Linked DNA regions of Macaca mulatta. The protein of the gene in region 2 purifies or fractionates together with the protein of the main gene of each other region. This does not show direct contact. Links are inferred from orthologs where the notes say so. Each region holds a gene or a part of one and is shown on either strand. Other genes may lie near its edges.

Region 1 (2,523 bases), on a different chromosome or scaffold from region 2:
CCTGCATTTCCTTTCCTCTCTCCCTGGAGCCCACATCCCACACTGCCTCTCCTCGCTTCATGCACATGGCATGTGTTTCAGTGCCATCCCCATGCAGAGCCACCTCTCTGAGACTGCTTGTTTCCAAACACAAAGTCCTTGGCATCTCCTGAAACTTCCTTCGTGCTGCTCCCCACCGAAGCCCCACCTCTCTGTCAATGGAAGCTCATCCCGATGGTCCCTTACCACCTCCATCACATCCATCACCAAGCTCTGGCTATTTTATCTCTCAGCTGTTCCCTGAATCCTTCCATTTCCCTACCAAATCATTTGATGTTGATTCATGCTCCTCTCAGTGCCGCAGAGCCCTCCTAAGAGAAGTTCTCGCCCTTCTCTTAGCCCCAGACCTGGCTTCCCTTGGTTGGAGGAGAAGGAAGCGCAAATGCTGATACTACCTGCATGGCCCTACCAGGAAGCCCCACCCTGACCCTGGGGCCTTCTGTTGCCTTCTCTCACCAGTGCTTTGGTTCCTTCCCAGCACAGGGCCCCGCAGAGCCCTTCTCTTCCACCTAGCAGATTCCAGCACATTCTTTTCTTTTTTCTTTTCTTTTCTTTTCTTTTCTTTTTTTTTCCTTGAGATGGAGTCTCAGTCTGTTGCCCAGGCTGGAGTGCCGTGGCTTGATGTCAGCTCACTGCAACCTCCACCTCCCTGGTTCAAGAGATTCTTTTGCCTCAGCCTCCTGAGTAGCTGCGATCACAGGCACATGCCACCATGCCCAGCTAATTTTTGTTTTTTTTTTTTTTTTTTGGCCGGGCACGGTGGCTCAAGCCTGTAATCCCAGCACTTTGGGAGGCCGAGACGGGTGGATCACGAGGTCAGGAGATCGAGACCAGCCTGGCTAACACGGTGAAACCCCGTCTCTACTAAAAATACAAAAAACTAGCCGGGTGAGGTGGCGGGCGCCTGTAGTCCCAGCTACTCGGGAGGCTGAGACAGGAGAATGGCGGGAACCCGGGAGGCGGAGCTTGCAGTGAGCTGAGATCCGGCCACTGCACTCCAGCCTGGGTGACAGAGCGAGACTCTGTTTCAAAAAAAAAAAAAAAAAATTTTTTTGTATTTTTAGTAGAGATGAGGTTTCACCATGTTAGCCAGGCTGGTCTCAAACTCCTGACATCGTGATCCACCTGCCTCAGCCTCCCAAAGCGCTGGAATTACAGGCATAAGCCTCTGCACCTGGCCTCCAGCACATTGTTTAGCTCTTGACTTGGATGACTCTTGACCTGCGAGGCTGCCTTGACACATGGACATTGGTGTCTCCTGTTGGTGTCCATGCTTCTTTTTCTCATGAAACATTAATCATAATGTTATTTCTGTGATTATCTTTTTTTTTTTTTTTTTTTTTTTTTTTGAGACAGAGTTTTACTCTTGTTGCCCAGGCTGGAGTGCAGTGGCACGATCTCCGCTCACTGCAGCCTCTGGTTCCCGGGTTCACGCCATTCTCCTGCTTCAGCCTCCCAAGTAGGTGGGACTGTAGGTGCCCGCCACCACGCCCAGCTGATTTTTTGTATTTTTAGTAGAGATGAGGTTTCAACATGTTAGCCAGGATGGTCTCAATCTTCTCACCTTGTGATCTGCTTGCGTCAGCCTCCCAAAGTGCTGGGATTACAGGCGTGAGCCACCGTGCCTGGCCCTATTTCTGTGATTATCTTACATTGTCATTGTCCCCCCAGGCTTGTCTCGTTCACTGTGACATGCCTTGTCTAGGGTAGATGCTTGTTAGATGTTTTATGACTTGCTTTCTTTTTCAACAGGACAAATCGATGGCCAGGAGATCACTGCCACTGCCGTGCTGGCCCCCTGGCCTAGGCCACCACCCAGGAGATTTAGCCCTCCCAGGAGAATGTTGCCACCACCGCCCATGTGGCGCAGGTCTCCGCCACGGATGAGGAGAAGGTAAACAATCTGTAGTTTTAGTGGACTAACCAGGCCACAAACCTCATGTGACTGCAGTGGCTTTGGGACCCTCTATCCAGCCCTGCCTGCCTGCCTTCTGCTGCGGTGGCAGGAGGGGGAGGGGGGCAGAGAGGAGGAGCCCTTCAGAGCTCATGGAGAGAGCAGGAGACGCCCTAGAGTTGCACCAACACAGCTTCATGAGTCTGGGCAATGGTGTGGTATGGCCTTCCTAGGAGACCACTAGACCTGTGAGCCCAGGTGCAGGCCCACTTTTTTTCTGAGCTAACAAGAAGGGCTGGGAGAGGGAGAAGTTGGGGGTCAGAAGAGTTGTGGGGCGGGGGTGGTAATCCCTCGGCAGACGCCACAGTTCGGCCTCCCTTGCCAATGGTGAGCTGTGCTTTCAGCCTTTGGGGAAGAGGAGGAAAGCCTGGGCTTCTGCCTTGGGTCTCACAAGCACCCGTTCCCAAGAGCTCAGGGCAGGCCCATCAGGTGGGACCTGTCCCAATTTCTGGTATTAAAAACTAAAACTTCGGCTGGGTGTAGTGGCTCACGCCTGTAATCCCAGCACTTTGGGACGCTGAGGTGGGCGG
Region 2 (3,654 bases):
TTTGTTTTCAAAATACCATCAAACCACTTGAGATAAGAGTGATAAGGCATTTTACAAAAGTACTGTGCTATAAAATAACTATGCAAGGCAATGTCTTCTTTTACTGTTTCACCATTTGCAAAAGACTTTCATGGTGATGATACTAACTCAACTTATTATTACAGGTGTGTAAAGCACATTATCACTTTGCAAATATAAGAATAAATAAGCTGTCATAAGGCCCCGGAACCTTTAAATGTCAAGGGTAAGACTTACATCTATACCAAATAAGTTAAAATTTGGATTTTCCCCACTACACTGTGACACAGAGCTTTTATCAATGCTTTTTAAATAAATCACAGGTAATGATTTCGGAATACAAAAAGAACATGTAAATGACCTATCTTCTAGATTGTACTTACATTTTTAGGTCATTCCTAATAACATAAATAAGAAATATTAATACAAGAAATATACAAACCAGCACTGGCATCAGATACAGCTCTCGAAATAGCACTGCTTGAGATTGCCCTATTTCTATTCATGATTTCTTCAAATTCAGCTTCACTCAATGGCGTTCTTGCAGTATCCATTTCCCTGTAAAATAAAAACACAAACCTTAACTCATACTCAACAGATTTCCTAAGTTAGTCACAATAGTGTATAGCAATTCACACTAGCTGCTTCTGACATGTGCTTTAGCAATAGTAGTTACTTTTCCATATTGAAGCATGCTACTTTTGCTACAAAGAGAATGTCTAAAAATTCTCCTATACCAGTATCTTTCAGCTAAAACAGGGTAGCAGCTTAAACACCTCATCTTCTTGGAAGGCAGAAATAACATATTTATATAGCTACAATCTAATTATTTACAGTCATTGTTCCTATCTTTTATCATCAAGTACTTGCACAGATACACACTAACCTACCTTCCAGGGGGGCCATAGTCACCCCTATCATATGGTGGAGGTCGACCATATGGGTCTGTTGGTGGTGGACCTCGGCTATCTGATGTAGGCATGCCGCTGTTAGTTGGTGGAGGAAAGAAAGCTGGGTTCACATGCGGAGCTGGTGGTGGGGCACCTGGAGGTGGTCCAGGAAGATGCGGAGGAGGAGCTAGTGTAAGGGGTGGCCCAAGTGGACCGGGTGGACGAGGTGGAAAGGGGCCTGGAGGTGGAGGTGGTCCCTGTTGTGGAGGTGGTGGGCCAGGAGGGGGGCCGTAGCCTGGAACTGGAGGTGGAGGACCAGGAGGAAGTGGACCCAATGGAGGCTGCCCAAAAGGTTGTCCAGGAAAAAGAACTGGTGGTGGAGGGCGATCTCCTCGATTAGGAGGCCCAGCTAGAGGAGGAGGCAGAACCTGACCAGGAGGTGGAGGACCTGGTGGACCAGGTGGGCCTGGAGGACCTAAGGGTGGACGTGGTGGAGTCTGTCCAGCTAAAAAACAAAGGAGAAAGAGAAAAAAAAACCACTTCACTAATAAGATATTTTCTTTCATATGCCAAGATTATACTTTAAAAGCATAAAGCATACACCAAGTCTTTGTCTTTAAATAAAACCCATATGGTAAATATTACACTACCAACTACAATGAAGTATATCCTTACAAACTTAACTAGCTCCATTTATGCTTAAGAAAACTTACTGAAACAAAAACTTTAATAAAAAAGATTACAATGCCTAGAGATATTTTCCATCTTTCAGTGTACACACACTTCTTACAGTGAAATCACCCACCTTATATTCTACTCTGATGCCAAGCTAGAAAGTGAAACAAGGAAAAATGATCTTGAAAGGATTTTTTAAGAGGTAAGAAAATAAGACGGATGTAAATATTCTATATATAAGTCAAGCAAGTTTGGAGAAAAATAAAGACCTTTTAGGCCAAAAATGGGTATTTCCTCTATGCTGTGCCCCATATGCCATGGAATCCTAGTTTCCAGGAACAAAGGCCGAGTTCCTTTAACAAGATGCTTGATCAAATTTCCTGGATTCCAAAAATAGCATAACAAGGAGAGTAAGTCACATTAATAATGCATTACTTGAAAAAGAGAGAAAAGGAAAAGAGGTATTAGGTAGACATGTTTTATACATGGTAATTTAAGAAAAGTTTTACCTGGAAAAGGTGGGGGTGGCCCTCCTGGTCCTGCTGGCCCAGGAAATCTGTCCCCACCAGGAACAGCCCCTGGAAAACGGCCCCGTCCTCTACCACCTTGTGGAAATGCTGCACGGGAACTGCCTCCTGGAGGACCAGCTTTACCTTCCCCAGACATTTGTCCTGATTGTGTAGCTGCAAATATCCAAATACTCATAAATAGCAACTATTAAAAATAGTATTCTGAAATGCAACCATTATTATTAAAAACAACTCTATTTCTAACATATTAACTTGCAAATGCCTTGTGCCTATGCAAACTACATAAGGAAGTATGGGTTAGGAAAAACATTCACATCTATATGGGTACTTTTAAAGACTCAAATTTTTCAGGTTTAAATATATTTTCCATAAGTAATCATGAGTTACTTTCAAAATACCAGCACTCTGCAGCAGCCAAGACCGAAATTCTTCAATAGATATCTTAATTTCAGTATTACATCATTTAAATTTTGTAACATACTTCTTCTTAAGTCTTAAGTGCTAAAACATTAAAAGAAAAGGAACCACTTGAATTTCTGTTAATTACATAATCATCCATCTTATCTCTTTATATGATAACATCCTTAAATGTGTAATGACAAATCTTTTCTATATTCAGTTTACCAAGTGGTGAAAGGTCTTGTTGCCAGGCAGAAAAATCAATGAACACTTTCTGGTTATCAGTGATCTCTCCCCCACCATAATACATATTCACATAGTTTTCCTTTAATCTAAGAATTAGAATGTAGTTTCCTTCTGTATCTAAGATGGAAATAACAGGACAAGAATGGCAGGGCTACAGAACTTGCACATTGTTGTGTAGTATTGGGTCTGTTATATCTGGAGAAAAATGGAACAAGAGTAGGTTTCTAGTACACAGGCCCACAGTCATAACCAGTGATTAAATCTAATTCAAAGCATGGACTTTGTGAAATGGAGTTTCTAGTGAGCAAGTATTAAGATGACTTCTCTAGTATAAAACGCCTAACAAATGCACTGGTTAAAATGTACATATTTTAATAAAAGCCTCTGAGGACTGCTTACTTTTCCTGGACTGCATTTCAAATTGACTCAGGAACTGTTTATTGCATGGAGTTACAACAGGATTCTGACCATGAAGTTCTCTTTTAGGCAACAGATCCATTAACTTTTTTGAAGACGCTTCAGATCCAACACCAACAAGGGCAAACCTAAAAGGTGTTTAAGGGGCGAGGATACAAAGTAAAAAGAGATGAATATTATTACTGTTATCCTTCTGTAAAAAGGTCTTAATCTGCTTTTATTTAAAAAAAAAACAGCTGGCCGGGCGCGGTGGCTCAAGCCTGTAATCCCAGCACTTTGGGAGGCCGAGGCGGGCGGATCACAAGGTCAGGAGATCGAGACCACAGTGAAACCCCGTCTCTACTAAAAATACAAAAAAAAAAATTAGCCGGGCGCGGTGGCGGGCGCCTGTAGTCCTAGCTACTCAGGAGACTGAGGCAGGAGAATGGCGTGAACCCAGGAGGCGGAGCTTGCAGTGAGCCGAGATCGCGCCACTGCAC
Region 3 (3,654 bases), on a different chromosome or scaffold from region 2:
TGCATACCTGTAATCCCAGCACTTTGGGAGGCTAAGGCAGGTGGATCACTTGAGGCAAGGAGTTTGAGACCAGCCTGGCCAACATGGCAAAACCCCATCTCTACTGAAAATACACAGATTAGCTGGGCGTGGTGGCACGTGCCTGTAGTCCCAGCTACTCAGGTGGCTGAGGCAGGAGAATCGCTTGAACCCGGGAGGCGAAGGTTGTAGTGAGCCAAGATTGCACTGCTGCACTCCAGCCTGGGCAATAGAAGGTTATACTGGGAGTACCTGAGTTGAAGGCAGAGGTTTTTCATTGTAGTGTGCATTTGCTCTGCTGTACATGTTGTATTGTTAAGAGAATCTAGTCACTCTCCAAAGAACCAAAAACGGGTAGCATTACAGCCTGCATCTTCCTTCTTCCTTTAAAAAAAAAAAAATTATTTCGCCAGACGCGGTGGCTCACGCCTGTAATCCCAGCATGTTGGGAGGCTGAGGCAGGCAGATCACAAGGTCAGGAGATCGAGACCATCCTGGCTAACATGGTGAAACCCCATCTCTACTAAAAATACAAAAAATTAGCCAGACGTGGTGGGGGGCACCTGTAGTTCCAGCTACTCGGGAGGCTGAGGCAGGAGAACAGTGTGAACCTGGGAGGCGGAGCTTGCAGTGAGCTGAGATTGATTATGCAATTGCACTCCAGCCTGGGCGACAGAGCAAGACTCTGTCTCAAAAAAAAAAAAAAAGAAAAATTATTTCATTGATTGGCTTCTATACATGTTTTCTTGGAAATATAAGGGTGCTAATCAAAATGATCATTTTTTCAAAGAATACATAGCTGACATATTTTGGCGGTAAGAAATATGTACAAAGCTGGGCACAGTGTAGTGCGCCTGTAGTCCTAGCTTCTCTAGAGGCTGAGAAAGGATCATTGGAGCCCAACAGGTTGAGTCCAGCCTGGATAACATAGTGAGGTCCCATCTCAAAAAATATGAAAGGAAAAGAAATGGATGTGACCTGATCGAAGTCATTTTGAAAATTAATTAAAAGAGTTAGCATAGGGCTCAAGGCAGGGGTTGAAAAGCAGCTTGGAACTTGATCCAAGCTTTTCAAGTCCTCGTTGTCCCATTAGAGTTTTCAGATTTTTCTCTTAGCTTGTAAGATACTGAGTTGATTGTCTCCCAGGCTGGAAGGACTCTCCTGGCCATTAAGTGTGTAATCTAGTTGTTCCACTTGGATTTGGGGCCAATAATGAGGTTTTCCTGCCCTCACCTGGGATTGGCCCAGCTGTCTTTTTTGTTTATTGAGTGGAAAGGAGAGGCCCTACGTAAGGGCCTTCCTGCGTTTTCTGCTGGTGCCTTCGGGCATCCACAGTGCTGGGACCACCAGCTCACCATGCTGAGATGTGACGTGTCTGTGTCCTGCTCAGACCTATGCCAGGTTCAGGGCAGGATCCTGAGTTCATAAACTAATGCTTACCGCCTGGGCAGCTGGCAGTCATCTTGTCACCATGCTTCCTTCCTTCAACTGATTCACATGCAGTCTTTTTTTAAAAAAAAGGTGAAAAGATGTGGTCCTGGGCTGACTGTCCCACTCTTGGTTTGTTAAAGACAGTGCTAGGAGAGGTGCCCCCTCACCCAGGCAGGTGAGTCTTCCCTTAAGGGTTCCTTCCCAACACTGTGTGGTCATTGAAAGAAAAAGAAGGTAGGTTGATGCAGTGCAGTTGCCCCAGCATTGGCTCCTGGGGGCGGGAGTGGGGAGGGCAGTCACAGATCCACAGGCATCAGTGATTGGGCTTCTGAACACCTTTTGGGATAGCAAGATCCATTCAGAATAGAAGCAGCTATGAGAAAAACCAGAAATGGGATTTAGCTTATTCTTTTTTTCGCTTTTAAAACATACTCTTTGATCAGCAGAGCAGTAGCAGTTGCCATATTTATATATTGTTACCAGCTTAAACTCATGTTCTTGAGGGTTTTTTTGTGAGCAAGGGAAATGGGAACAAATGGCCTTCCCTACATACTGGCATGCTGAGGGACAGCCAGTGGCCACCCAGGAAGCCAGTGCTCCGTGACATCTACAAAAGGGTCTGCAAGGCCATCTGCGTCCTCTGGCCCTGGGGACAAAGAGGGTCTGTTTTGTTTCCAGGTTTTCCTTTGGTTGAATCAGAAGTGAATGAGATGATGATGAAAATAGATGATGAGATGCTGAAAATAGTCCTCGGTTACTAAAACATGAAGGTCTTTGCCTAAAGGACGCAGCAGTGTCTGCTATACAGAGGCCAAGGCTATTATAGTGGTTGAGGCAGGTGCTGGAGTCAGATGGGCTTGGTTGAGTCCTGGGTTGAACTCTCGTTCTACCGTTTATAGAGTGCATACTGTGCTTTGCCAGGCCTGCACACAGGTGCGGCTGAATCACTGACGTTTGGTTTTGCTTCCTGCAAAATGAACAGAATACATAGCTCTTATATCTTTCCTTAGAAGAAATGTAAAAATACTTCTGAAACTTCTTTGAATGTGGAAGAAAGAAAAAAATTAGTATTGAGCACTTTTGGGAGGCGATTTTGTTTGATTCAGATCTTCATAAAGTGGCGGTCTCTTCTGTAAGGAGAAAAAGCTGTTGACTTGGGGGCCAGTCTCTGAAGTGCTTAGCATGTCGTCTGTTGTATCCTAGGCATTTGAGCTGGCAACGGGAGATTATTTGTTTGAACCACATTCTGGGGAAGACTATTCCAGAGACGAAGGTGAGTATTAGTGCCTGCTGAATACCTCATTCTAGGTCTCCTGCCAGCCCTGAACTTCTGTAGAGTACTGTATTTTTGTACTGAAATAGAGCCATGTTTTTGGTTTTCAAACACCAAATTCAGATGCTTTTCCTTTGAGTTTGACGCCCCCTCAGTCTCAGTGAATGGGCAGAGCCTGCCTGGTACAGGCAGCACTCCAGTGAGCCCTCAGGGGCCTACACCAGCGGCTCTTCCTGGCCTTGCACAGGGCAGGAACCCAGCTGTCTGAGAGAGGACAGATGATACAGACCTGAAACCTCTCTGTGGTCCTTTCGACCATTGATGTGCTGCCCATTTCTCTGTCCTGTTTGGGAGCTGAGTTGAAAACCCAGGAATTCTGGCTTGAATTCCATCTGTAAACCTGACCATCTCCATGCTTATTTGCTTGCGATGCTGGGGTAGCCTGGGGTGAGCTGGCCTCAGTCACTGTTACTGCTCCTGGTGGTGCCTGAGGCCTGTCATTCCTACAAGCCTCTGCATGGATGTGCTGCAGACACTGTTGATTTGAATCTATTTCTGATTTTTTACTAATTTCAATTTTTCCCTCTTCTTTTATCCCATCCTTCCCTTTGCCCCTCCCATTCCCATATCCTTTTTTCTCTCCTCCATAGACCACATAGCCCACATCATAGAGCTGCTAGGCAGTATTCCAAGGCACTTTGCTCTATCTGGAAAATATTCTCGGGAATTCTTCAATCGCAGAGGTAGTACCTCTTCTTTTTGAAAAGCGCCACGATGCAGACAGAAACTGAAGAGCAGCTGCTGATTTTAGCATTAATGGTGACAAAGGCATTTCTCCTAAATTCAAAACGCAACCCAGCAGAATTCCTGTGCTGATAGAAAAGTTGTCAGGGAAGACCACATTTAGCCCTGTGCTGCGGTCACCCTGTTCA

Evidence for each region.
Region 1: the proteins of CPSF6 (region 2) and RNPS1 purify together in Homo sapiens (co-immunoprecipitation; 3 studies listed by BioGRID and IntAct, with this or other methods). This does not show direct contact. The link is inferred for Macaca mulatta from reciprocal best matches to the Homo sapiens genes CPSF6 and RNPS1.
Region 3: the proteins of CPSF6 (region 2) and SRPK2 purify together in Homo sapiens (affinity purification with mass spectrometry; 3 studies listed by BioGRID and IntAct, with this or other methods). This does not show direct contact. The link is inferred for Macaca mulatta from reciprocal best matches to the Homo sapiens genes CPSF6 and SRPK2.

What each region holds. Positions count from the first base shown.
Region 1 is NC_133425.1:3,492,065-3,494,587, reverse strand, and holds part of RNPS1 (RNA-binding protein with serine-rich domain 1), read left to right. Parts: intron 1-1,791; coding exon 1,792-1,933; coding exon of another isoform or gene 1,934-1,937; exon of another isoform or gene 1,938-2,038; intron 2,039-2,523. UniProt on the Homo sapiens protein: Part of pre- and post-splicing multiprotein mRNP complexes. Auxiliary component of the splicing-dependent multiprotein exon junction complex (EJC) deposited at splice junction on mRNAs.
Region 2 is NC_133416.1:76,375,467-76,379,120, reverse strand, and holds part of CPSF6 (cleavage and polyadenylation specificity factor subunit 6), read right to left. Parts: intron 3,304-3,654; coding exon 3,158-3,303; intron 2,267-3,157; coding exon 2,093-2,266; intron 1,964-2,092; coding exon 1,853-1,963; intron 1,414-1,852; coding exon 909-1,413; intron 577-908; coding exon 461-576; intron 1-460. UniProt on the Homo sapiens protein: Component of the cleavage factor Im (CFIm) complex that functions as an activator of the pre-mRNA 3'-end cleavage and polyadenylation processing required for the maturation of pre-mRNA into functional mRNAs.
Region 3 is NC_133408.1:144,711,814-144,715,467, reverse strand, and holds part of SRPK2 (SRSF protein kinase 2), read left to right. Parts: intron 1-2,652; coding exon 2,653-2,722; intron 2,723-3,372; coding exon 3,373-3,465; intron 3,466-3,654. UniProt on the Homo sapiens protein: Serine/arginine-rich protein-specific kinase which specifically phosphorylates its substrates at serine residues located in regions rich in arginine/serine dipeptides, known as RS domains and is involved in the phosphorylation of SR splicing factors and the regulation of splicing.